Linked DNA regions of Anolis sagrei. The protein of the gene in region 1 purifies or fractionates together with the protein of each later gene. This does not show direct contact. Links are inferred from orthologs where the notes say so. Each region holds a gene or a part of one and is shown in the gene's direction. Other genes may lie near its edges. The genes, in order: RALBP1, AP2A1, AAK1 and REPS2.

Region 1 (7,008 bases):
CCAAGGAGTCTATCTTCCCCCATACTCCAGCTTCACTGAATAAACACATTGTAGAATTTGAGAAAAGTCAGGAGAGATTCTTCACACTCTCAAGTGGGGACTTGGGCCAGACAAATAATCCCAACACTTAAAAAGTACAGCAAGAGAGATGCCCCATCTCTTCTGGTACACTTAGTTTCTCTTTCAAGATCAGAAAAAGAGCAAAGGCTGCTGCAAAACAAATTGGTGAACCCTGCTATTAGGCTACAGATCTTTTTTATGCTATTTTTAAAGCCTGTGCATAAAGCAAAGTGGCAGCCCACTGCATCCATCTGTTCTGCAAATTGCTTGGTCGAATGCCACAGCATTGTGCAACAATTCAATGACCATCCTTAGCATCTACAATGTCTTTCTAGATGCTAAAGATGATACCCTTCTTTCAATAAACTGAAAGCCATGATTACAACTATCCTCCTCTTCCTTGTTGTCACAACCTTCTTGAAAAAGTAGATTATGGTGAGAAAGTAGATCATCTTGTCTATTTCACAGCCAGGTAGGGACTTGACCTTAAGCCTCCCAAACCCCAGTCTGACATTCTTCATCAATGCCATTAACTCTCAGCTAATATCACAAGTCACCACTGGCCCCAAAAACCTTTTAACCCAGTCACTATAGCAGTGAAGAGTGTGTGTGTGTGTGTGTGTATGTATGTGTGTGTGTGTGTGTGTGTGTGTGTGTGTGTATATATATATATATATATAGGAGCAGTTGCTTTCTCACAAGCAAAGATGAACGGTGAACAAAAAGTCTTGCTAGTTTTGGAAACACTGCCCTGATCACCGCCACTTGTATCTCAGTTGTTGGAGCAAGGGTACACTCAGTAGTATTCTTCTGCATAAGCAACAAAGGAGGTATTTATAAATCCGGGTGTAATATGAGCAGATTAGTTGCCTTTCCCTTTTAAATGCTGTCTGTCAGCCCTTCCCTTTTATTAATTTATGAAACTGGCTGGGAGCCCAAGTGTAGTCATAAGAAGCTGACTGAATGTTGTGTGGGCTTACCAACATTTGAGAAATAGGGAGGAAGGTAAACAGATCCCAAGGGCCTGCAAGGGAGGCCACAGATAAAATTCACTGCAGAATGAATGCAGTTTGACACTACTTTAACTGCTGTGCCACAATGCTATGGAATACGGAAGATGCAGTTTCACAAGGTCTTTAGTCTTTTCTGGCAAAGACTGCTGTTGCCTCACCAAATGACAAGTGCCAGAATTCCAGAACACTGAGACATGGCAGTTAAAACTGGTGTCAAACTGCAATCATTCTGCAGTATAGATGCACCCATAGACTGATACTAGCCAATTGAATGTCACAAAAACCAATGCAAATTCACATTCCCTTGCTGGTTTGCTTGGATCAGAAAGCAGAGCTGCCCAACTTTTTGCCTGTCAGCTAAGGAGCTACATGGTCCTCAACAGGCAATTTTCAAAGAATAGGGGTATTCAAAGGCACTGCCAATGCAGCAGTCTTGTCTGTCTACCATACACACTTTAACTTTTAGTTGCTCTTTGGTGGAAATGAGTACCAACACTTTCAAAATGTACTACTTCACCAACGATTCCTAACCTTTGATCTCTACAGGTGTTTTGGATTTCAGCTCCCAAAATCCCTGGCAGTTGGCCAAGCCAGCTGGGGCTCCTGGGAGTTGGGGTCCAAACATTGGGAGGACCAGAGGTTAGGAACAACTGCATAACAGCACTGTAACAAACTCAGCCCCTTCCTTAAGAAATGGGGCCACAAAGTGGAGTTCACGACACGTGGGTGTGGAGAAGGGAAAACCACAGATTATTTGCTACAATGCAGTCTGAGCTCTGCCACATGCACAACGAAGGACCTTCTTACAGTGGCGCCAGAGGCACTCGAAGTGGCCAGTTTCTAGTCAAAGGAAATTTAACATAATGTCAAGTTTTTAACTCTGATTGCATTTTTAAAATACATAAATATTCTCAACTTGCTTCTGACACAATAAATAAATAGCCCCTTCCTTCAATGTGGGGTGCAACCAAACTATACTCACTTACTTAGGCAATCTCTCGTTGTCCGTGTATGATGGCCTTTCAAGGCTTCCCAATTCTTGGTGTTTGTGACTGTGAAGCCCTATTCTTGACTCACATGTTCTTCCACAGTGAGGGCATCCATTTCCAGGTGGCAGTCCCAGTCAGGGTTGGCTTGACGCGCCTTCCTCTTGGCACATTTCTCCCTTTCGCCCTCCATTCATACTTCTTCGAATTCTACAGCACTGCTGGTCACAGCTGACGTCCAGTTAGAGCGCTCAAGGGCCAGAGCTTCCCAGTTCTCGGTGCCCATGCAACAGTTTTTAAGGTTTGCTTTGTGTATATTTAAGCTTAAATATATTAATATTTAACTACATTATATTTAAGGAACAGCCACACTGTAGAACGGATGCAGCCTAACACTACTTGAACTTCCAGGGCTTATTTATTTTTTATCGTATCAGCAGCAAACCAAGGGTACAGTTGTGATGTATGTGAGAAACACAAAGTTTAAAAACGTGATATTATAATAAATTTCCGTTGACCAGTCGCTGGCCACTTGGAGTGCCTATGATGTTGCTATAAGGAGGTCTTCCATTGTGCACATGGCAAGGTTCAGGCTGCATTGTAATAGGTGGTCTGTGGTTTATTCTTCTGCACACTCACATGTCATGGACTCGATTTTGTGGCCCCATTTCTTAAGGTTGGCTCTGCATCCCGTGGTGCAGTCTGTTCAGTGCTTTCCAAGTCGCCTAGTCTTCTGTGTGCCCAGGAGGGAGTCTCTCATTTGGTATCAGCCATGGATTGAGGTGCTGGGTTTTAGCCTGCCACTTTTGGACTCTCGCTTGCCAAGGTGTTCCTGCAAGTATATTCCAGGGCTCGAGGCTATAGAATCCTGGGAGTTGTACTTTGGTGGGGCATCAGCATTCTTTGGCAGAGAAGGCGAGATTTTTGACCTTAGAAAACTACAAACCAGTTAGAGCACTCAAGGGCCAGGGCTTCCCAGTTCTAAATGTCTGTGACTATGGAGCCCTAATTCTTGATCCACATATTCTTCCACAGAGAGGACAGGTGGAAGGCAGTCCCGGTTAGGGTTTGCTTGATGCATCTTCCTCTTGGCACATTTCTCCCTTTTACCCTCCATTCATGACTCTTAGAATTCTGCAGCACTGCTGGCCACAGCTGACCTCCAGTTAGAGGGCCAGGGCTTCCCAAGGGTCAGGGCTTCCCAGTTCTCGGTGCCCATGCCACAGTTTGTAAGGTTCACTTTAAGTATATATTTAAGCTTAAATATATTAATATATATTAAATATTTGGTAAATTACATTCAAGCAATAGCCACACTGTAGAACGGATGCAGCCTGGCATTACTTGAACATCTAGGACTCAAGGCTATAGAACCCTGGGAGTTGTAGTTTGTCATCAGCATTCTTTGGCAGAGAAGGAGACTTTAGACCTTTGAAAACTACAAACCTCACGATTCTACAGTATGGCAATTAAAGTGGTGTCAAATGACATTAAAACGTACCCTCTGCCATGTATACATTTCGACAGCTTACTTAGGAATAGACCCCACATATAATAATAATGAGCAAACCTGGGCCCTCCAGGTGCTTTGGACTTCAACTCCCACCATTCCTAACAGCCTCAGGCCCCTTCCAATGGAAGGGGCCTGAGGCTGTTAGGAATGGTGGGAGTTGAAGTCCAAAGCACCTTGGAGAGCCCAAGTTTGCCCCTGCCTATACTTATGGCTCCAACAGAAACCCCACTGCACTCCCTGCCTTGTTAAGACTTCCTTTCCCAAGATGCATCACAAGGGAGAAAGGGGGGGGCGGGGCGTAGGGCAACACGGAGCCACACTTCATTCGTTATGTAAGCATAGGAAGAGCAGGAGGAGGAAGTGCGCATGCGCACTTGTGCCCCCTCCAACCTTTTCTGGCCTCCTCTCGAAGGGCTCACTTCTCGGGTTCTTCCGACAGCTCCTCCCCACGCGCATGCGCCGCCTGATTCCGGCCTCTGCCCGGAAAAGCCGGAAGGAGTCCGCGCATGCGCCTCGGAGCCGCCGCCGCCGCCCCCTGCTCGCCTCGCGCCAGGCTTACTCCACAGGCGACGGCGGGATGGGGCCTGAAGGCGGGCCGCCCTGACGCCGGAAGGGAGCAGAGCCGTCCTGCGTCAGCGACGACGGGACCCCCGCCTCCTCCTCCTCTTCTTCCTCAGGTCGGTGCTAAGGCTCCCCACTTCCCCCCGCCGCTTTCTTTCCCACCGGGGTTTAAACCACTCCCTCCCCTCACTCCCACCCCCCCCCCCCCGAGAATGTGGGCGGCCGTTGATCCGCCGCTGAGGCGCCCCCTGTACTGCGCACGCGCAAGAGGAGGGCCTCGCGCCCTCTAGCGCCCTGGCGGGGAATTGAATCACTCTGAACCCCTCGCAGGGTTTCCATTCCAACTCTTGTCTTTTTCCCACCAACTTCCCAATGTCAGCTGGTTTCATGGTGAGTAGAACATGCAGTGATAATAAATGAAATTTACCAGCCTGCTTCTGTTTCGTAATACACCAATCCTGTTGCCTGCCAATAGGCAATAGTAGGGCTTCAAGGGGGTTAGGATGGCAGTGGTATTGGCCATCATCCCAGCAACCTGTATGTGAACAGAACTAGATGTATTTGGTAGATTTTGAAATTTTGGACAACGGGTATGATATTTTCGGTATGGTTTTTAGCGTTAGTCTCCTTTGGGAGAGAAGATACGTATTTTATATATATTTATTTTATTAATATTTATTTTATTAATATTTATTTATTTATTTATTTTATATATATATTTTATATATATATTTTATATATATATATATTTTATATATATATATAAAATATATATATAAAATAAATAAATTTTATATATATATATATTTTATATATATATATATATATATATATATATATATATATATATATATATATATATATAAAATATATATATATATAAAATTTATTTATTTTATATATATATTTTATATATATATATAAAATATATATATATATAAAATATATATATAAAATATATATATAAAATAAATAAATAAATAAATAAATAAATAAATAAATAAATAAATAAATAAATAAATAAATAAATAAATAAATAAATAAATAAATGTAATGTTCGTTTGTGGGATTAACATAACTCAAAAACCACTGGACGAATTCACACCAAATTTGGACACAATTCACCTATCAGGCCAACAAGTGACCATCACTCATAAAAACACAGCAGAAGGGACTTAAAAAGCCAAAAAAGCAAAAAGGAGAGACTTTAGACCTTAGAAAACTACAAACCTCACGATTCTACAGTATGGCAAGTAAAGTGGTGTCAAATGACATTGCTACAGCACATGCGCAAAAATGACTTCCCCAGCAAACAAAACACACAATAGCATATCCACACTCTCTTCTAGACTACAACTTCCAGCATCCCATAGACCAGGCCCTTTAGGAGAGGAGGATGATCCACATGCACTGCTTCCAAGATGCAAGCAAGATGCAAGCTTTCTTCACCTTGGATCTCAATCCCTGCATATTTCAAATTTTCTATTCCTGGACTGCAACCCCCAGCAATCCTCCAGATAGATTTGATAGAGATAGATAGGTAGGTAGATAGATCGATCAGGAGGACTGCTGGGAGTTGCAATCCAAGAATAAGTAGAGAAGGAAGAACTGGGAGAAAGAGAAAGGGAAAGAAAAGGGAGAGAAGGAAGGGAAGAGGAAGAGAAGAAAGGAAGGAAGGAAGGAAAGAAAAAGGAAGGGAGGAGAGAAAGAAAAAGGAGAGAAAGAGGGAGGGAAGGTTGGCCACAGTAACACGTGCCAGGTACAGCAAGTAATACATATAATAATAATAATAATAGGAGCCCCAGTGACTCAGTGAGTTAAACCGCTGAGCTGCTGAACTTGCTGATCAAAAGATTGTAGGTTCGAATCCAGGTAGCAGCATGAGCTCCCACTGTTAGCCCCAGCTTCTGCCTACCTAGCAGTTCAAAAACATGCAAATGTGAATAGATCAATAGGTACTGCTAAGGCGGGAAGATAACGGCGCTCCATGGAGTCATGCCGGCCACATGAACTTGGAGGTTTCTACGGACAACGCCGGCTCTTCAGCTTAGAAATTGAGATGAGCACCACCCCCCAGAGTTGGAAACTGTTAGATTTAATGTCAAAGAGAAAACTTTACTAATACCAAACTATGCAGAGAACAATATAATGACAAATTGACAACATGGAGAGAAGGAAAACGTACCAGAAAATCATGAGTCAGACACGACTGGACTTAATGTCAGGGGAAAATCTTTACCTTAATAATAATAATAATAATAATAATAATAATAATATACAACTTTCTGGATCCTATTGCCTTCTAGCCTACTTTCACAACTATTTTATTATTGTTATTGTTGCTGTTGTTATTATTATTATTTAATTGTCTCCTTCCACCATCTCCCCGAAGGGACTTGGAGCGGATCACAAAAGCGCTCAATAATATGATAACACAAAATCTAATAGGTATGTATTTTGTATAGATATGCTTTTTTGCAAGAGGCTTTAATATCACTCCATACTACAGGTGAAGGAGTGGGTTTATATCCATGAAAACACATACTAAAATAAAAACCAGATGTTGTCGCACTCTTCTTTTTCTCCCCTGCTTTCTTTTTGTGCTGCAAGAGACTGAGGGATCAACTACACCAGGTATGCACAAACTTTGGCCCTCCAGGTGTTTTGGACTCCCACAATTCCTAACAGCCTATTGGCTATTAGGAATTGTGGGAGTTAAAGTCCAAAACACCTTGAGGGTCGAAGTTTACCCATGCCTGATTTACACTGTGGAATGAATGCAGTTTGACACCACTTTAACTGCCATGGCTCAATGCTATGCAGACAGTGGTGTGGTAGTTTTACAAGGTCTTTCGCCTTCTCTACCAGAGACTGG
Region 2 (7,566 bases), on another chromosome or scaffold:
TGGAGTTTGGATTTAGATACAAGGCTTGTGGATACGATGTCTGCCTTTAAAATGTCCTTTAGCCCTTCCCCATCCTCAGAGCCAGAAGTGATGTTGGGTTGCCATTCCCATTATCCCCAGTCTGTATGGCAGATAATCAAAAGTGATGTGAGTTGTCATTCAATAAAATCTGGTGACTCAAACTGAGGAAAAAGAGCACCTACCACTATGTCAAAAAATTATAGTGGGCCCTCTGTATCCAAGGATTCTCCATTAATGGATTCAATGGCCCTTCCACAGCAAACATAAGGCTGATGTGACCCTCAATGTAAATGAATCTGACACCCCTGATCCACACATTTCTGATTCTGGGACAATCCACAATCCCAACAAAGGATTCCCCTAGGCAGTATGAAGCCAGACCTTGAAAACTGCTAGGCCATTAAATGCTAATCGAAGTGGCAAATGGAAACATTCACACCTACCTCCAACAGACAAGAGTTATTTCTCCCACCCTGGACATTCCACAGATATATAAACCCCATGTTTCTAGTTTCCAACGGACTTCACAAGTTCTGAGGATCCCTGCCATAGATGCAGGCAAAATGTCAGGAGAGAATGGTTCTAGAACATGGCCATACAGCCCGAAAAACTCACAGCAACCCAACTCTCAAAGAGTTCTCAGGGACAAAATTTGAGGATTCAGTGCCACCAAAATCTTAAATTTGGCTGCAATGTTATGCCTATATATCTACCAGGAACTCTGGTGATAGTTAGAGGAGACCTCAAAGGCAATCCAGTCTAACCCCATTCTGCCATGAAGGAACACACAATCAAAGCATTCCTGACAGATGGCCATCCAGCTTCTGCTTAAAAGCCTCCAGAGAAGGAGACTCCACCACACTTTGAGGCAGTATATTCCACTGCCAAACACCTCTTACCATTAGGAGTGCTTCCTAAGATTTGTTTCTGCACAGGCCTATGTAGATGAGCACTATTAATGTACTTCACCCTATGCCTCTGCATTAAAGAGGAACAGATTTCCCTGGTAAACATAACAGCTTTGACAGAAAACAACATTTTCTTGCTCTCCATGCCTGACAAAGTAACTACTGTAGATTAAGATCAAAAGCTTGTTTGCTTTGCAAACTAAGAACCAAAATATACATGACAGCACCCATAGAGGAACGGTTTTCCCATTTAAATACTTCCTGCAAAACCTGTCATATAAAAACATCCTCACATTGAGGGTTTTGAACAAGTAGCATCAGCCGAATCCGATGCTACGTTATTTTTTTTTACAACGGAAAGGGTTGACTCAGGGTGCAACTACATCCTGTTCTTTTCTTGCATGTCAGGGGGTTGGAATAGATGGCCCATTTGGTCTTCTCCAATTCTATTATTCTATGTTTCTATATACTGCAGAATTAATGCAGTTTAGCATGGCTTTAATTGCGATGGAATCCCGGATTTTGTAGTTTTGATGAGGCAACAGCAGCGTGGGAAAGCTGAAGACCTTGTAAAACTACAACTCCCAGGATCCCATAGCATTGAGCCATGGCAATTAAAGTGGTGTCTAACTGCATTAATTCTACAGGCATGGGCAAACTTGGGCCCTCCAGGTGTTTTGGACTTCTACAATTCCTAAGAGCCAGTAGGGTCCAAGTTTGCCCATGCCTGGTGTAGAAGCACCCTTAATTACTTACTTAGGCAATCCTTCGTTGCTAGAGGATGATGGTCTTCCAGATGTGGTGTCTTGGCGGTGGGTCTGTAGGTGGCTGTGGAGCCCTGTTCCCGATCCGCATGTTCTCCCACAGTGAGGACATCGGTTTCCAAATGGAAGGCTGTCCTGGTCAGGGTTGGCGTGGCGCACCTTCCTCTTGGCACGTTTCTTTCTTTCGCCCTCCATTTGTGCTTCAAATTCCGCAGCACCGCTGGTCACAGCTGACCTCCAGTTAGAGCACTCAAGGGTCAGGGCTTCCCAGTTCTCGGTGTCTATGCCACTGTTTTTAAGGTTGGCTTTAAGCCCCTCTTTAAATCTCTTTTCCTGTCCACCAACATTATGTTTCCCATTCTTGAGTTGGGAGTATAGTAACTGCTTTGGGAGACGGTGATTGGGCATTCGGACAGTGTGGCCGGTCCAGCAGAGTTGATGGCGGAGGACCATTGCTTCAGTGCTGGTGGTCTTTGCTTCTTCCAGCACGCTGATATTTGTCCGCTTGTCTTCCTAAGAGATTTGCAGGATTTTCCAGAGGCAGTGCTGATGGAATCGTTTTAGTAGTTGCATGTGACATCTGTAGATAGTCCACGTTTCGCAGGCATACAGCAGGATTGGGAGGACAATAGCTTTATTAACAAGCACCTTGGTAAACCCTATGGATGTTCTGGTCCTCAAACACTCTGTGCTGCATTTGGACGAATGCTGCACTCGCAGAATTCAGGCGGTTTTGTATTTCAGTGTCAATGCTGACTTTTGTGGAGAGGTGGGTGCCAAGGTAGCGGAAATGGTCAACATTTTCTAACGTTACACCATTAAATTGTATTTTTGGCATTGCAGAGGGATTCGCTGATGCCTGCTGGAAGAGCACTTTGGTTTTCTCGATATTCAGTGAGAGGCCGAGTTTCTCATATGCTTCTGCAAAGGTGTTTAGAGTGGCTTGTAGAGATAGCACACACTACATTGTCATCAGCATATTGGAGTTCTATAACAGATGTTGTGACCTTGGTTTTGGCTTTCAGTCTACTGAAGTTAAATAGCTTGCCCAGAAGTGGTTTGGCATTTAAATTCTCTAGAAACAGATCCTAGATAGCACTTGCCATATCTTCACATTGCTCTATATAAGTACTATTTTTTATCTTTAAAAAAAATAAAATGGTACTAAAAACTTACTAATTCTCATCTTAATAAATATTTTAAGCAATATTGGGAATGATAATTTCAAAATAATATTACTATTATTGTAAATAAGTATTATATTTATTATAATAAATATATATTATTATTATTAAATACTACTACTAAGATTGTTTATTTAGTAGCCATCCCCTGCCACACATTGCTGTGGCCCACTCTGGTGGTCATGGGGGTTCTGTGTGGGAGGTTTGGCCCAATTCTATCATCGGTGGGGTTCAGAATGCTTTGTGATTGTAGGTGAACTATAACTCCCAGCAACTACAACTCACAAATGTCAAGATTCTATTTTCCCCAAACTCCACCAGTGCTCACATTTGGGCATATTGAGTATTTGTGAAGAATTTGGTCCAGATCCATCATTGTTTGAGTCCACAGTGCTCTCTGGATGTTGGTGAACTACAACTCCAAAACCAAAGGATACTGCCCACCAAACCCTTCCAGTATTTTCTGTTGGCCATAGGAGAACTGTGTGGCAAGTTTGGTTCAATTCCATCGTTGGTGCGGTTCAGAATGCTCTTGGATTGTAGGTGAACTACAAATCCCAGCAACTACAACTCCCAAATGACGAAATCCATTTTTTTAGTGTCTTGTGTCCAAATTTGGTGTCAACTTGTCCAGTGGTTTTTAGGTTCTATTAATCCCACAAACGAACATTACATTTTTATTTATATAGATTTATTTATGACATTTATATGCCGCCCTTCTCACACCGGAGGGGAATTAGAGCGGCTTACAAAATATATATACATACAATATATTATATTATTAGCATAGTACAATATCAGTATTAAATATTACTATATTGTACTATACCATTATATTGAAATATTATTAGTAATATTACATGTAAAATAAATATGTAATTATAATAATATATTATTATTATTATATTGCATTACATTATAATATTATAAATATTATATGTATATACAATAAATTATATTATATTACATTATATTAAATAATATAAACATTAGACTATCAACAACAATAAATGTAGAAGAAATAATAGTACACTTAGATAAGAAGAACTCGAACCACATGGAAGAGGATTTGAATCCATGCCTTTCCATCCTTTAACATTTCTCTTTTGCGCCTATTGGCTCAAACCTCGTGACGTCAGCTGCCCCTCCCAGCCCAGTCTCCAAGTCTCCTCTCCCCAATGTTCCTTTTGCCGCCGTTCCGCTGTCACCTCTTTTAGCCAATGAAAAGAAGCATGCTGCTTGAATGACAAGAAGCTCTTCCTCCAATAAGAACCCAGAAGAAGTGTTGACTGTCCATCAGTGGGGCGGGAACTAAGCGTGCTGATTTCGCAAGAAGCTGGAGAGAAGGAGGGCGGGATATCCCTTGAAGGACATTCCTCAGAACCACTAAGAAGAAGAGATTGTCTACAAAGGGGCGGGAGGGAAAGAACTATAGGCGGGACATGTCCTAACCTACGCCCAATGGAAAATGCAGGACGGCAGGGGACTTATTTGACATAAGGGGCATGGCGGAGCCAATAGGGAGAGGGATAGGCGGGATTTAATCCTCTCTGCCAATCATCTAGGAGGATGCTTTGCCTTCAGTGAATAGGAACAAGGATGGACTTGACAGGCGGGGTCTCAAGCCAATGGGATGCAAAATCGCCTACGACGGACGTAGAGAGCGGCCAATGGGATAGTCCCTGGTCGGTTCGGTGCTGCTGGGCCAGGTTTCGGGCGCGGAGCGGAACGGAGCGTCGCCGGGGTCCCGATCCGCCACCGCCACCATGCCGGCCGTTTCCAAGGGAGACGGGATGCGGGGCCTGGCCGTATTTATCTCCGATATCCGAAACTGTGAGCAAATGGGGAAGGCTGGAGGAGAACGGGAGGGGAGGGGCCGTTGAAGAGGAAGGAGGGAATGGGAGAGGGCCGAAGGGGGGCTCGGAAAGGGGCCTCGGGTGGGATTGCGGCCGGGAAGGAGGCAGGAAGCCGGTTGACGGCCAGGCTAGGCCAGGCCAGGCCAAGGAGGGCCCTTGGGAGGGGCTCCTGGGGGCCCCTTGGCTCCAGCCTTGCTCTTGGAGAAAAATTGTGAGGGCATCCACACTGTGGAGTTGATCCAGTTCCATCCCACTTTAATTGCCATTGCTTGGGACCCTGGGAGTTGTAGTTTGGCCAGGCACCAGCACCCCTTTTTTTGACAGACCTTGTGAAACTACAGCTCCCAGGATGCCCTGGGAGTCCCAAGTTTTTGCCAAACTGAGCTAGTTCCACAACTGTGTCTCCACTGCACAATTATAGCGCTTTTAACCCCACTTTCACTGCCATGGGATCCTGGGAGTTGTAGTTTGTTGGGGCACCAGAGCTGTATATGCCTCACAAAACTACAACTTCCCCAGGACTGGATAGCATTGAGTGATTGCAATTAAGAGTGGGATCAAAACTGCATTAGGGTTGTTGTAGGTTTTTTCGGGCTATATGGCCATGGTCTAGAGCAGTGGTTCTCAACCTGGGGTCTCCACATGTTTTTGGCCTACAACTCCCAGAAATCCCAGCCAGTTTACCAGCTATTAGGATTTCTGGGAGTTGAAGGCCAAAAACATCTGGGGACCCCAGGTTGAGAACCACTGGTCTAGAGGCATTCTCTCCTGACGTTTCGCCTGCATCCATGGCAAGCATCCTCAAACATAGTGAGGTCTGTTGGAAGTAGGAAAAAGGGTTTATATATCTGTGGAATGACCAGGGTGGGACAAAGGACTCTTGTCTGCTGGAGCTAGGTGTGAATGTTTCAACTGACCACCTTGATTAGCATACACTATAATGACCTGAGAGTGCCTGAGAGGTGATTAGACAATACATAAAACTGCATTAATTCTACAGTGTGGATATAGTTCAGGCTGGCTGGCTGGCAAGGGGAGATTTGACTAAGGCAGGCATGGGCAAACTTTGACCCTCCAGGTGCTTTGAACTCCCAAAATTTCTAACAGCCGGCTGTTAGGAATTGTGGGAGTTGATGTCCAAAACACCTGGAGGGCCAAAGTTTGCCCATACCTGCTCTAAGGTGATAAGTTGGACTTACGAGTTGGCTACAGTGTCAGCTGTAGGTTGGGTGACAGGTTTGGCTTAGGAGTTCACTTGGGGACATAGGGTGAAATATAAATAAAGTATTATTATTATTTGATACATAATAATATTAGTACACAGTAAACAAGATCACTATCCTGGCTTTTGTGTTTGCTCACACGCCGGATACTTCCCAAGTGTCTAGGACTCTGTGATGTTTCGGCAAATAATGTGTGCAGATTCTAGTAGGGTGGCCTTTTGCAGCTGACAGATGGTATTTTTGTCAGCGTCTATTGTTTTTAGGTGCAGGCCAAGGTCTTTAGGCACTGCACCCAGTGTGCCAATCACCACTGGGACCGCCTTTGCCGTCTTGTGCCAGAGTCTTTGCAGTTTTATCTTTAAATCCTCACATCGTGTCAGCCTTTCCAGTTGCTTCTCATCAATCCTGCTGTCGCGTGGGATTGCAACATCAAAGATCCATACTTGGTTTTTTTCCACAATTGTGAGGTCAGGAGTATTGTGTTTCCAAGAACTTGTCAGTCTGAATTTGGAAGTCTCAGAATTGTTTGATGTGTTTATTTTCGTAACTTTTTCAGGCTTGTAATTCCACCAATTCTTTGTCACAGGCAGATGGTATATTATTATTATTATTATTATTATTATTATTATAGCAAAGCAGCTTTTTGGAACTAACTTGAAAAACAGAGCGAGCCACCAGGTGCCAATGTGGAAGATGGACATTGTTGTATGGTTGTAGACTGTGGTCTCATCTCCACTGACTATTTAACACAGTTTCAAACTGACATTGAAGAAAGTGGTTTCGTCGTGCAGATGAATACACAAAGGAAACCCTGGTCCAGATGGTGATAAGACAAACTATACAGAGGATTTTCTTTCACACACTTTTGTGGGACTTTCTCGATGCCACAGTTTGAAGCTAGGTCTGAATTGCATTAAATGGTCAGTGCAGATGGGGCTTGTGTGGAGGTGGACTAGGGAGTGGGTGCTGGAGAATATGAGGGTTGCAAAGGAAAAAGGGGCATGAGAACCAAGGTTAAATATTTGAAAGGATGTCATGTTGATGAGTGGACAAGCTTTGTTTTCTGCTGCTCCAGAGACTAGGACACAGTGGAGCCGTAGATTCAAATGATTGAAAATGAGATTTCACCTGAATATTAGGAAGAATTTCCTGACCATGAGAGCTGTTCAATAGTGGAACTCTGCTTCAGAGTGGGATGGAGTCTCCTGCTCTATAGGCTTTTTAACAGAAGCAGGATGGCCATCTGTTGGGAGTGCTTTGATTATGTGTTCCTACATCGCAGGGGTTGGACTGGATTGCCTTTGTGATCTCTTCCAATTTTATCATTAAGTGTCTGGTTTTTACCTGATTTCTGATATTTGGAGGGAGAAAAAGTGGGGTGCAATAAAAAAGCAAAAAAAAGTTGTCAACGGAGAATGTGAGAAGGGCTCATGAGGCAGGAAGAAAGGAACAAACTCTCATCCTGGTTTGTTCATGTGTGGATTTCAATGCCCTTCTTCATTCCCATGTTCCCACAACAAGGGCATTCAAAAAGTGAATCATACACAAAAATCCAAAACTAGGGAAATGGACACATTCCATAGTACAGGATTACATTTTCTTGGGAAGCA
Region 3 (7,227 bases), on another chromosome or scaffold:
GTGGGTCAGTCCCATCAAATCCCTCCAGTACATTCAGTTCTTCCTGGGGTTCTGTGTGCCAAGTTAGGTCCCAGTCCATCATTGATAGGGTGCAGAGTGCTCTTTGACTGCAGGTGAACTATAAATCCCAGTACAACTAACAAATGTCAAAGCCCAAAATCCACTAGCATTCACATTTGGGCATATTGGGTATGCATGCCAAATTTGCTACAGTAAGTCGTAGCAGGATCAAGTGTGTGCTAAAGAAAAATCTTATGATGTTAATTATTATGTGCAGCTGGTAATGTAGGTCAGTCAACAACCTCCATGAACCTTTTACATCTACTGAATTGGACATGGCTCTCAACAAATGTAAGAATGGCAAAGCAGCTGGCTTGGATGATCTACGGATGGAACAAATCAAGAACTTTGGTCGACGGACATTTAACCAACTACAAAGTTTGCAAAATCTGTGTGGTTTTTTTTCTTTTTCTTTTTAATCTGTGTGTTTGTTTTGTTCTGTTAGAATTGTAACACAATGGTATGGTTTCTGATAACACGATAAATAAACATGTTTGGGCCACACCTGGTGGGGTATAACTGTATGGATTTTAGAATACAGTTTGGAGAAGCAATACGCTACTCCGAGGAAGAGAAGCAATATGCTGTAATGCTGCTATGCTCAACAGCGATGCTCTTTGCTATGGTGGAATAGCTATTTACTCAAGGTTTATGTTTTGTTCTCTCATTTGAATGAAGACGAAGAAGCCTTGTTCTGTGTTACTTACAAGGACTATGTAAATTTGTTGTACTGTTTGATTTTGTATGCAACACTGCAAGTTTATGCCTCTGCTGATAAGTTTTTCTGTTCCTTTTTCCTCTTGCCTGTGTGTCTTATGCATGGGACTTGGCTAAAATCCGCTTCTGCGCAGCAAAATTTTGTGCAGATCCATTGTTGTTTGCAATCACAGTGCTCTCTGGATGTAGGTGAACTAGAATTCCTATAATGACAAATTCCTTCCAAAAATCTCCTGCATTTTCTCGTGAAACCCTCTTATAGTGGCGAGGCAACGGGGATGTTGGGAGGGGAGAGGCTGGCTACTACCACATCACATTGTCGACTCATATTATTCTCAGTCGCAGATACCTGATTTAGTTTTGACATAAAATGAGCACATTTTTTTCTCTATCTATACACATAATAAAAGTTGAAATATGTATGTGGCAAGAGAGTCCACTTACACAAAGTTCTACAAGCAGCTATAGTTCCCAGCCATCAGGAGACACAAAAGGCCCTCCCTCAAACATTGAAAGTTATAGTGAGCACCATGAACATGTCTAAATGCCTGCCAATGTTCTCCACAGACACCAGACCGCCCACCCCCCAGTGAAAGCTTTCATAAGGGGACAATTTCAACCTAGATTTTTAGTGAATGAGGGTTTTTGAGTGGAAAAAAACAACCCATGCAATTCCTGACGTGGCCACTGGGGGCGACGAAGGACCGTCCATAGGCAAAGGGTGGTTGCATGAAGAAGCTGAATCTCAAAGGAGAGCAATTCCCGATGTGGCCACTGGGGGCGGCAAAAGGTAGGTTGTTGTATATAAATATTATGACTATTGTTATTGTTACTACATTTGTTATTACCGGTAATTTATTATTATTATTATTATTATTATTATTATTATTATTATTATTAATTATTTGCTGACACAAAACCACAGTATGCCACAGCAAATGAGATCTGTATGCTGGATTTCGTATCACAAAATCACAAGTTGAACATTTCCCAAGCGTCTAGGACTGTGTGATGCATTTTTGAATGATACGCGCAGATCTAAGTAAGGTGGCCTTTTGCAGTTAACAGATCGTGATTTTGTTACATTTTTAGAGTTTCCAAATGCCCTTTGAGATCTTTTGGCACGTCACCCAGTGTGCCGATGACCACTGGGACCACCTGGGCTGGTTTATGCCAGAGCCTTTGCAGTTCGATTTTGAGGTCCTGATAACGGCTGAGTTTTTTCCTGTTGTTTTTCCTCAATGTGACTGTCACCCGTATGGCGACATCAATAATCCAAACTTTTTTTCTTTTCCACAATTGTGATGTCTGGTGTATTGTGTTCCAAAACTTTGTCAGTCTGGATCTGAAAGTCCCACAGTATTTTTGCGTGTTCATTTTCCACTCCTGTTGCAGGTTTATGATCCCACCAATTCTTTACTACTAGTAGGTGGTACTTGTGACATAAGTTCCAGTGAATCATGCCAGTGAATTATTATTATTATTATTATTATTAGTAGTAGTATTACTATTTGAAACACAACAAGATGAGTCCACAGCAAACAAGGTCACTCTGCTGGCTGTTGTATTGGATCACATGTCGGACACTTCCCAAGTGTTTAGGACTGTGTGATGTATTGGCGAATAACGCGTGCAGATCCGAGCAGGGTGGCCTTTTGCAGAGACTTACAGAAACAAGCTCCTGCTTGTTCATTTACAGAGAAAATTTCCTCCACAAACAGGTACAGCTCCCACCACTCAGGAGACACTCATGGCCTTCCCTCTAATGACATTGCAGGTTCATGGGGAGCACCAAGAACATGTCCAAGAACTCTGCCAGTGTCCTCCACCAACCCCATACTGCCTACCACACAAGTGACCGCATCTCTGTGTACAAACCCACACGATCTCTTCATTCATCTGGAGAGGCCCTGCTCACGATCCCACCTGCATCGCAAGCGTGATTGGTGGGGACGAGGGATAGGGCTTTTTTGGTGGTGGCCCCTCGACTCTGGAACTCCCTCCCTAAGGACATCAGGCAGGCCCCATCACTAGCAATCTTTAGGAGGAGCTTGAAAACATGGTTGTTCCAGTGCGCCTTCCCAGAATAAGGAAACTCCTAGCATTATGTCCCAACGCACTTTATCAGAGATCCAAGATATCTGCATGCCCCCCCCCCCCACCAAACACTCCACCTGGTCATGCCCAGCACTTTTAATTTTTAATTATTACATTTGGCCCTGCCATTGATTTTAATTGTGTCGTTGTGTGCTGTTAATGTTATTGTTTTGTTTTTTAGTTATTTTGCTGTTTGTTGTTGCTGTTGTTTTTACTATTGTATTTGGGCTCAGCCTCTTGTAAGCTGCACTGAGTCCTTTGGGAGATGGTAGCGGGGTACAAATAAAGGTTTATTATTATTATTATTATTATTATTATTATTTCATAAGGGGACTGTTTCATCCTAGATTTTATGTGCTTCCTCCACCACAGACACCCGTGTTTATTATTATTATTATTATTAAATTATTATTAAATCTATTATTATTTCTATTATTATTATACATACAACAAGATGAGTCCACAAGCAGACAAGATCACTCTGCTGGCTGTTGTATTGGATCACACGTTGGACATTTCCCAAGTGTCTAGGACTATGTGATGTATCGGCGAATAATGCGTGCAGATCCCAGTAAGGTGGCCTTTTGTAGCTGGCAGATGGTAATTTTGTCAGCCCTGATTGTGTTTAAGTGCAGGCCAAGATCTTCAGGCACTGCACCCAGTGTGCCAATCACCACTGGGACCACCCTGACTGGCTTGTGCCAGAGTCTTTGTAGTTCGATCTTTAAATCCTCATGTGTCAGTTTTTCCAGTTGTTTCTCTTCAATCCTGCTGTCACCTGGGATTGCAACATTATTAAAGTTATTATTATTATTATTATTATCATTATAATTAGAGATTTCTGGTCTGCTTTGGGTCTTGGTTCCTAAGATCAAAGCAGGAAATAAACCTATTATATAATAATAATAACCTATTAGTATTGTTATCACCATTAAGCTTTGGGCCCAGTTCCTTTTTGGTGGAGGCTGGGACTCCAAAACCGGCTCTAGCCAACAGATGACACATAATCCTGCCATTCAGAGCACACCACTCCATTGCGCCTGCGCAGCACTATGTCGCGCGCGACGCCTATCGGGGCTTGTAGTCCCCCGCAGAGCCAAACGACTCGGAGTCCGGGAACCCCTCCTCCCAGGATGCAACGCGTCGCGAACGTCTTATTTTCCGGGGGGGAGGGGTGGGAAAAAAGGAGTGAAAACCAAATAAGTTGTTGTTCTTCTCATTATTATTATTATCATATTCTAGGGATAATTATCATTCTTCTGCTTTGTGTCGCCATGACTGAAAAGATTTTGATGAAAGGGCTTGTATGAGGGGAAAGGCGGCGCTTTCCGGGCAGGAAGGGGTGAAAGGGGCGGGGCTTGAGGTAGCCCTTCCTACTTGGCTCCGCCCCCTCGCTCCGGCTCTTCCTAGCAGCGGGGCCCCTCCCGCCGCCCGGCTGGCTCTGTGGAAGCGGCGAGAGCGTCTCTTCCTCCTCCTCCTCCTCCTCAGTGAGGCCTTCCTCACCGGCGGAGCCTGCCTTTCCTGAAGCCTGAGGGGGAAAAGGAAGCAGGCAGGCGGGCACGAGGAGCAGGAGAAGCCGGGGACTGGGCCTCCTCCTTGCCTGCCTTCCTTCCTTCCTTCATTCGGCATGGTCTCCTCCCCGCCGGCCCCGGTCGCTGAGCGAGAAGCCGAGGCGGAAGTGGCGGCGGAAGGGCCTGGGAGCGATGCCGGAAGGAGGCCGCCCAGGCGGGCAGCGCAGCCCAGCAGCCCCCCCAGCAGGTGAGCAGGAAGCCAGGGAGCCCCAAGGCATCATCCCTATCTATCTACTTACCTACCTATCTATCTGTCATTTACCTGTTTATCTATACCTATCTATCTATCATTTATCTATTTATTTACCTACCTATCTACCTACCAGTCTATCTACCTACCTAACATTTACCTGTTTATCTACCAACCTATTTATTTACCTATCTTTTAATCATTTACCTATTTATCTATCTACCTACCTACCTATCTATTTATCATTTACCTATTTATCTATTTATCTACCCACCTATTTATTTACCTATCTGTTTATCATTTACATATTTATTTATCAATCTATTTATCTACCTACTTACCTACCTACTACTTATCTATTTATCATTTAACTATTTATCTATTTTATCTACCCACCTACCTATTTACCTTTCTATCTATTTATCCTTTACCTATTTATCTATTTATCTACCCACCTATCTATTTATTTACCTATCTATTTATCTACCTACTTACCTAGCTTTTTACCTATTTATCTACCCACCTACCTATCTATTTGCCTATCTATTTATCATTTACCTATTTATCTACCTACTTACCTATCTATTTACCATTTACCTATTTACCTATTTATCTACCCACCTACCCATCTTAATTTCACAAAGACTATGCATGTAGACTGTTGCACACATCTATTTACCTATCTATCTATCATTTACCTATTTATCTACCCACCTACTTATCTATTTACCTATCTATCTATTTACCATTTACCTATTTATCTATTTGTCTACCCACCTACCTATCTATTTGCCTGTCTATCTATTTATCATTTACCTATTTATCTATTTATCTACGCACCTACTTATCTATTTACCTATCTATTTACCATTTACCTATTTATCTATTTGTCTACCCACCTACCTATCTATTTGCCTGTCTGTCTATTTATCATTTACCTATTTATCTATTTATCTACCTACTTACCTATCTATTTATCATTTACCTATTTATCTACCCACCTACATATTTATTATTTACCTATTTACCTATTTATCTATTTATCTATCTATCTATCTATCTATCTATTTATCTATTTACCTATCCACCCACATGTATATATACACACATAAATAGATATATACATATACATGCATGCATATACACACATAAACATGCAAATACATACAGGGAGGGGGAGACCTCCTAATACATATCTATCCAGCTATTCACAGATACATATGCATACATACATACATACATACACACACACACATAAGCACATAATTTACCAATCCACCCATATGTATATATACATACATAAATGCATGCATATACACACATAAACGTGCATATACATACAGGCAGGGGGAGACCCCTAATACATATCTATCTAGCTAGCTATTCACACATATATACATACACATAAGAACATAATTTACCTACCCACCCACATGTATATATACATACATAAATATGTATGCATGCATATACACACATAAACATACCAATCCACCCACATGTACATATATATAAATAGATATATACACACGCATGCATGCATATACACACATAAACATACAAATACATATAGGCGAGACCCCCTAATACATATCTATGTATCTATCAATTCATACATACATATACATACATACACATATGCATATTAATATATTCATATACAAACCTGTACATATACAAACCTGTACATGTATACATTGTAATATAACAGTACTAATATTAATAATGTTGTAATATAATATGTTAGACTACAACTAATTAAATAGTACAATATATTATATAATACGAATGGTGTCCTATACTAGTAGTGTTATAGTAGTGTTATATACATATATACATATACATATATACATATATACATATATACATATATATATATATATATATATATATATATATATATAGTGGTATACGGCACAATGTAATACTAGATAATATAATAATTATATATAATATGACTAATATTTCAGTATAGTACAGTAAAATAATATATAATACTAACATTGTGCTATGCTAAGAACACAATATGTTGTGTATACAGATAATAGTAATAATATAATATAATACAATATAATAATAATATTGTAACAGTACTAATATATAAAATATACTGTTAACATATAATAATGTATAATGGTAATGCTGTTTTATTATTAGTACATTAGTACATTTTAAGTTGTATTGTAATATTTTTAATTGTGAGCCATGTTGAGTCTCCATATGGAGAGATAAAGTGGGATGTAAATAAATAAATATACACACATGCACATAAATCTATGCATACATATACCTACATATTTATATGCACATAAATATATACATACACATACACACATGTATACATACATGTATAAATACATACACACCTCTATACATACAGATCCTTTCACACTACATAAATACATATAAACCTATACATAAATACATATATATACATATACAAATAAATACACATTCAGTCACATGCGCACATATATGTGTGTGTGTGTGTGTGTGTATAACACATCTATCCAGAGCTCCCCTATCCCGTCTCCACCATTTTCCTGTCATTCCTGTATCCCTCCTGTTCCTTTCTTCCAGGGCCGCCCCAAG
Region 4 (7,296 bases), on another chromosome or scaffold:
GAGACCGGCGAAAGGCAATGCGAACCGCCGTGGAAGATGGCGGAGTCGCTGATGTCGACCTCGTGGACCTGATCGATCTCACTGATGCCACAGAGCTGGCCGAAGAGTGCCGGATGCGTACAGTCTCGGTTGTGACTGTGCATGGAGCCTTCTGCTTTGTAGGCTTTGCCGCCTTAGAAGCTACCGACACCGAGGCCTTGGAGGTTGTCGACATAGCTGCTCTCGGCCTCTTTTGCGCAGCCTTCTTCTCCCTGGTCTGGCGGGGCTCGGCGTCCGCCGAGGGATCGACAGATTTTGATGTCGATGCTACCTTCGACTTCGAGCCCGAAGTCGAAGTTGAAGGCCTGGATACCGCGGCCGACGTCGACGCCGATGTCGATGTTGAAGGTACCGGAGCCAACGTCTGCTGGTAGAGCAGGTATCGAAGCCGATGGACCCGATTTTTTCGGGACTGTGCCGTCAAAGATTGACAATGACGACACGAAGAAGTGATATGTGCCTCGCCGAGACACAAAAGACAAAGAGTGTGCTTGTCCGAATCAGGAATCTTCCTCGGGCAATTCACACATCTTTTAAAGCGAGTTGTTGACATAATATAGTCAAACAACTCGAAGAAATCTGAGAATCTCTATCCAACGAAGTTCCGAAGCGAGCCGTGCGGCGGAAAAACAGGAATTGGATCGGTGTGCGCGGGGCGCCCTTTTATCCCCTGCCGGGGCTGGGCGGGGTTACCGCCAAAACTTGAAAGTTTTAAAATGTAGAAGTTTCCGTTGGAGCCCGCGCAGGCGCAGTCTCTCCACAAGTGTGAATTCGCAGAGACCACGAAGAAAAAAAAAATTACACCCATTTCTTGTGTCTAAATCCATTTCTTTGGATTTCCAAATTGAGATGTAGATTTGTGTGTGAATTGAATAACCTTCCAAACAGGTTGATCTAAAGCAAAGACAGTATGACCTTCATATCTGTTGGATCACTGTGCAAGAAAATGTAAATTCTAGACATTTTCTAGGTCCTACGACTCTATAGTATTCTTGAGTCCTTTATTTTAATAGGGTTTGCTATTATCTGCTGTTTTGCATATCCATACACACTGGGAACATATCCCCCATGGATACTGTACTATAATGGGTTTGGTGCATGCCTCATGCCAGATTTCTGAAATCTCTCTCTCTGTGTGTATGTACAACACCATATTTTCAGAACCTATCATTCCATTATTAACTTAGAATCACAGACCCTCTTTGAGCTCCTATACAAGCTACACCCTCTTCTCAGTATAACCTTCATTCGTCCCATTAAAAACAATGGCGTTTGTTAATATCCACAGTTTCATGTATTGAAATGAAGTCTAGGAACATATCCCCTGCATAGATGGTGGGTCATAATGTATGTGCCTTCTAGTTGTTAGGGACAACTCCCAAAAATACAGCAGAGCATTCAAAACTACAAACATGATACTTATAGTTTGAGCATTCAGCTCACAGCAGACAGAGTGTGAAGTGTTGTAGTCAGAAAAGAATTTAGTGTTTAGGATTCAAAGTTGCAGAGTTCAATTTTTAAAGTTACACAAGTTTTATTTACAAAAATAATAACTACATTTTTAATAGTAAATAACTGGGTCTCAGCCACTCCATCTTTTCTAGGGTTCACAAGAGAGGGGGAAATCTCCAAGTACTACATCTCTCCTGACACACCCAAGCAGAGAAAGGTGTCAATACACAGATGTAAAAAAGCAGAAGTATGAAACAAAGGCATGCACCTGTAAAGTATCCATTCTACATAGCCAATCAGAATGAGAGCAGAAAGAGGGAGAAGATAACCAATAGACACATTCCATCTGTCATTCAGGAGCCAGGGGAAAGGGATTCCCTCAGTCTATACCAGTGGTTCTCAACCTGTGGATCCCCAGATGTTTTGGCCTTCAACTCCCAAAAATCCCCAACAGCTGGTAAACTGACTGGGATTTCTGGGAGTTGTAAGCCAAAATACCTGGGGACCCACGGGTTGAGAACTACTGCTTTAGATAATACTATATCACCTGGGGCTATTAGGAATTGTGGGAATTGGAGTCCAAAACACCTAGAGGGCCCAAGTTTGCCGGAACAAACGTGCTGCATCTAGATTGTAGAATTACTGCACTTTGATGCCAAACTAGCATGGCTCAATACAACTAAATTGTGGGAGCTGTCATTTAACCAACTCTTTAGCCTTTCCTGCCACATAGCGCCCCACCAAAGCTGCAACTCTTGGGTCTCCATGGGGAGCCATAGAAGTTAAAAGTGCTATCAAGCTGTCTTCATTCTAGAGTGCAGATGCACCCGTCTTTTCGCCTTCTCAGGATTCCCCAGCCCAGCGTTTCTCAACCTAGGGGTCCCAAGGGGGTTTCAGAGGGATCACCAAAGACCATCATAAAACATATATTTCTGATGGCCTTAGGAACCCTTTTGGCAGTGAAAGATGAAGATCTCTCCAGTGTCCTTCTCTTCCTTTTTGGAAAACAGATGGCAAATCCTCCCACCAAAAACTCTCCTCCCCTGTGATTGGCTGGCCTCTCAGGCAGCCTCTTAGTCAAGGAGAGGGCTGTTTCTGAGACTCCAAGGGGGGGGGGGAGGGGAGAGCAGGCGTGCCTGGTGCATGGCTGTGTGGCACACATATGCAGGCAATGGAGCATGTGAGTCTGGAGGGAGGCTTGTGCCAGTGTGTCCCTTCAAGGCCTCTCAGCCAAGGGGAGGGCTGTTACTAAGACTCCAAGTGGGGAGGGAACAGCAGACATTCTCAATGGCAGCTTGGTGCACATGTGTGGATGAGGGAGAGCGTGTGAGGCTGGAGGGAGGCTCACACCAGTGAGTCCCTTCAAGACATGGGGATTCTGTGTGGGAAGTTTAACTCAATGCTATCGTTGGTAGGATTCAGAATGCTCTTTGACTGTAGGTGAACTATAAATCCCAGCAACTACAACTCCCAAATGTTAAGATCTATTTACAGCAAACTCGACCATTGTTCACATTTGGGCATATTGAGTATTTGTGCCAAGTTTGGTCCATCATTGCTGGAGTCCACAGTGTTTTCTGGATGTAGGTGAACTACAACTCCAGAACTCAAGCTCAATGCCCAGCAAACCCTTCCAGTATTTTCTGTTGGTCAAGGGAGTTCTGAGTGCCAAGTTTGTTTCAATTCCATTATTGGTGGGGTTCAGAATGCTCTTTGATTGTAGGTGAACTATAAATCCCAGCAATTACAGCTCCCAAATGGCAAGGTCTATTTCCTCCAAACTCCATCAGTGTTCAGATTTGGGCATATTATTGAGTATTTGTGTCAAGTTTGGTCCAGATCCATCATTGTTGGATTATACAGTGTGTAGGTGAACTTTTTTTTTTTGTCGTGTCAGGAGCGACTTGAGAAAGTGCAAGTCGTTTCTGGTGTGAAAGAATTAGCCATTGCCCAGGGGATGCCGGATGTTTTGATGTTTTTACCATCCTTGTGGGAGACTGCTCTCATGTCCCCGCATGAAGAGCTAGAGCTGATAGAGGGAGCTCATCTGCGCTCTCCCCAGATTCGAACCTGCGACCTGTCGGTCTTCAGTCCTGCCAGCACAGGGGTTTAACCCACTGCACCACTGGGGGCTCCTTGTAGGTGAACTACAACTCCAAAACTCAAGCTCAATGCTCACCAAGCCCTTCCAGTATTTTCTGTTGGTCAAGAGAGTTCTGCGTGCCAAGTTTGGTTCAATTCCATTGTTGGTGTTCAGAATGCTCTTTGATTGTAGGTGAACTATAATTCCCAGCAACTACAACTTCCAAAGGACAAAATCAATCCTCCCCCCCCCCCCATCCCACCAGTATTCAAATGTGGACGTATCGGGTATTTGTGCCCAGTTTGGTCCAGCAAATGAAAATCCATCCTGCATATCAGATATTTACATTACAATTCATATCAAAGTAGCAAAATTAGTGTTATGAAATAGCAAGGAAAATAATGTTGTGGTTGGGGATCACCACAACAGGAGGAAGCATATTAGTTTATGAAAATCCATCCTGCAGATCAGCTATTTACATAAGGATTCCTAACAGTAGCAAAATGAGTTATGAAGGAGCAACCAAAATAATGTTATTACGGATGGTTGGGGGGGGGGGGGTCACCACAACATGAGGAAGGGTGGAAGACCCTGCCCTAGCCTTTGAGCCACGCAAGCTTCCCTGCTCCAAAACTTGAGCCTTCCTCTGCGGAGTCCAGGGAGGACGAAGTGGGAGAAGAGGAGGAGGAGGAGGAGGAGGAGGAGGAGGAGGAAGTGGAGGCACGTGCCTCGGGGAAGGGAGCCTCCTTCCCCTCCTCCTTCCTTCCTTCCTTCCTTCCCCCTTTTCCTCCTCTTCCTCTTCTCCTTCTCTCTTCCTGCAGCTGCTGCTGCTGCCTTGCCGCCTCCCTCCCGCTGTTTTTGCCGCAGAAAGGGAGGACAGCGGAGGGAGAGGAGGCGAGCGCGGCTGCAGAGGCGGCGGCGGCGGCGGAGCCTCTTGGGCAGGACTTGGGGGCGCCGTTGCCCCTGCAATGGAGGCCCCCTCCTCCTCCTCCTCCTCCTCCTCCTCCTCCGGGGAGCAGCAGCAGCAGCAGCGCTACGCGGAGCTCTTCTGCCTTTGCGGCGGAGGCGGCAGCGGGAACGCCGCGGGCTCCGAGGCAGGCGCCTCCGGCAGCAAGGTGGCCGAGCTGTTCCGGGCGTCGCAGCTCCCTCCCGAGGCCCTCCTCCAGGTGAGGCAAGAGTGCTCCTGGACATGTGCAGAGCGCACCCCCCCCCCCCCCCCAGGGCATCCACACCAGGCATGGGCGCATGTTAGCCTTCCCTCCAGGTGCTTTGGACTTCCACCATCCCTAACAGCCTCAGGCCCTTCCTTTCCCCCCTCAGACCCTTAAGCGAGGCTCTTAGGGATGGTGGGAGTTGAAGTCCAAAACACCTGGAGGGAGGGCTGAAGTTTGCCCATGCCTGTTCTACACCAGATAAACCCAGTATTGTGAACGAATATGGAACGGCTTAACGATGCAAATGGACATGGATTTCAACCCAGAAGTCATTGATTCTAATAGTTTTAAATTGTTTTAAAATTAATTTTATTACGTGATTTAACCTGTTTTAAATGGTGTATTTATGTGTGTTCGGCATCTAATTGTTGCCAGTCTGTACGCCGCCCTGAGTCGTCTTTGGGCTGAAAAGGGCGGGAGAAAATTGTGACAAATAAATAAATAAATAAACTGTAGAATTGTTTTTCATGCCAGGTGCCACTTTATTTATTTATTTCGTATCGTATTGCATGAATTAGTATGAAACAGATAAAATAGAAAGTGTGCAGGCATCTAAATGTCTTTTGACCAAAAACGGGCAACAGCAACGGCATTGTCTGTAGCCTCCAACAATTCATCCTATGTACATGAGGCAGGGCATAATGGACAAGCACTTGACGAACTGCAATTCGCTTCTGGTGTGAGAGAATTGGCTGTCTGCAAGGACATTACCCAGGGGACGCCCAGATGTTTTACCATCTTTGTGGGAGGCTTCTCTCATGTCCCCAAATGGGGAGCTGGAGTTGGCAGAGGGAGCTCATCCACATTCTCCCCAGATTCGAACCTGCGACCTTTCGGTCTTCAGTCCTGCCTGCACAAGGGTTTTAACCCACTGCACCACCGGGGGCTCTTAGTACCACATGGGGCCCTTCCACACAGCCCTGTATCCCAGAACATCAAGGCAGAAAATCCCACATTATCTGAGTGTGGACTCAGATAACCCAGTTCAAAGCATATTATGGTATTTTCTGTCTTGATATTCTGGGATATAGGGCTGTGTGGAAGGGTGCTTGGACCTCTATGGCTCAATGCTCTGGAATCCTTGGAGTTCCCTCACTCAACTGCAACTTCCACGATTCCTGCAGGTTTGAGCCATAGCAGTGAAAGGAGTGTCAAACTGCATTAGTGTATAGAGAGGCACCTTCTAAGGGCCATTCCACACCGCCCTATATCCCAGAATATCAAGGCAGAAAAATCCCACATTATTTGAGTGTGGATTCAGATAACCCAGCTCAAACCAGATATTGTGGGATTTTCTGCCTTGATATTGTAGGATATAGGGCTGCGTGGAAGGGCCCTAAATGAGTTCTCTTTGGACAGAAAAAGTAGCTCCAATTGAGATTTGGATGAAAATAAATAAGCTGGATGAATTCCCTCTATGTTCTGAAAGCCTTTTTCCTTCCCTTGAGTGTTTTCTCTTTTGAAAAGGGGATTCATTACCTTTTGAACATCAATAAAGGTAGAGCAGGCCTGGGCAAACTTGGGCCCTCCGGGTGTTTGGACTTCAACTCCCACCATTCCTAACAGCCTCAGGCCCCTTCCTTTCCCCCCTCGGCCACTTAAGCAGCTGAGGGGGGAAAGGAAAGGGCCTGAGGTTGTTAGGAATGGTGGGAGTTGAAGTTCAAAACACCCAGAGGGCCCAAGTTTGCCCAGGCCTGAGGCAGAGTCTCCCATCTCTGAAATAATTTGGACCTGAAGCATCTTGGATGTTAGAATATATGTATTCAAGTTGTGTTTCCCTGTTCTGAAATGCTTGTAATCAGAAGTGTTTTGGATTTTGGAATATATACATCTACAAGTTGAGTCTCCCTTCTCCAAAATGTTTGGGACTAGAAGGTGTTTTGGATTCACATTTTTGGAATATGTTCTGGTTGAGTCTCTCTTTTCCCTACGTGTTTTGGATTTCCGATTTTGGAGTATATAGCCATACAGATTGAGTGCCCTCCCATACAGCTGAATAAACCCTATATTTTCTGCTTTGAACTGGGATATATGGTTATGTGGACTCAGGGCCCTTCCACACAGCCCTATATCCTAGTATATCAAGGCAGGAAATCCCACAATATCTGCTTTGAACTGGGTTATCTGAATCCACACTTAGATAATGTGGGATTTTCTGCTTTGATATTCTGGGTTATATTGTTGTTGGGTTATATTGGTCCCTGAGTCCTCCTTCTCCTAAATACATGAGACTAGGAGTGTTTGGGTTTCGGATTTTGAAATAAATATATCTATTCAGGTTGAATCTCCCTTCTCTAAAGTGCTTCGGACCTGAAGTATTTTGATTTCAGGTTTTACTGGATTTTGGAATCCCTGTATTTGCATATACGATTACACGCATAATGAAATAGCTAGGCAGTGGAACCCAAGTCTAAATACGAAACTAATTTATGCTTCAAATATAGCCTAGACATGTTGCCTGAATGTAATTTTATACTGTACTTTAAATAATTTTGTGCATGAAATCAG

The links.
Region 2: the proteins of RALBP1 (region 1) and AP2A1 purify together in Homo sapiens (affinity purification with mass spectrometry; 5 studies listed by BioGRID and IntAct, with this or other methods). This does not show direct contact. The link is inferred for Anolis sagrei from reciprocal best matches to the Homo sapiens genes RALBP1 and AP2A1.
Region 3: the proteins of RALBP1 (region 1) and AAK1 purify together in Homo sapiens (affinity purification with mass spectrometry; 3 studies listed by BioGRID and IntAct, counting the BioPlex papers as one, with this or other methods). This does not show direct contact. The link is inferred for Anolis sagrei from reciprocal best matches to the Homo sapiens genes RALBP1 and AAK1.
Region 4: the proteins of RALBP1 (region 1) and REPS2 purify together in Homo sapiens (affinity purification with mass spectrometry; 3 studies listed by BioGRID and IntAct, counting the BioPlex papers as one, with this or other methods). This does not show direct contact. The link is inferred for Anolis sagrei from reciprocal best matches to the Homo sapiens genes RALBP1 and REPS2.

The regions. Positions count from the first base shown.
Region 1 is NC_090024.1:64,796,788-64,803,795, forward strand, and holds the start of RALBP1 (ralA-binding protein 1), read left to right. Parts: upstream 1-3,983; 5' UTR 3,984-4,249; intron 4,250-4,441; exon of another isoform or gene 4,442-4,523; intron 4,524-7,008. UniProt on the Homo sapiens protein: Multifunctional protein that functions as a downstream effector of RALA and RALB. As a GTPase-activating protein/GAP can inactivate CDC42 and RAC1 by stimulating their GTPase activity.
Region 2 is NC_090026.1:28,906,353-28,913,918, reverse strand, and holds the start of AP2A1 (AP-2 complex subunit alpha-1), read left to right. Parts: upstream 1-4,552; 5' UTR 4,553-4,643; coding exon 4,644-4,710; intron 4,711-7,566.
Region 3 is NC_090027.1:20,520,100-20,527,326, reverse strand, and holds the start of AAK1 (AP2-associated protein kinase 1), read left to right. Parts: upstream 1-4,211; 5' UTR 4,212-4,632; intron 4,633-7,227.
Region 4 is NC_090023.1:90,116,188-90,123,483, reverse strand, and holds the start of REPS2 (ralBP1-associated Eps domain-containing protein 2), read left to right. Parts: upstream 1-4,294; 5' UTR 4,295-4,542; coding exon 4,543-4,740; intron 4,741-7,296. UniProt on the Homo sapiens protein: Involved in ligand-dependent receptor mediated endocytosis of the EGF and insulin receptors as part of the Ral signaling pathway. By controlling growth factor receptors endocytosis may regulate cell survival.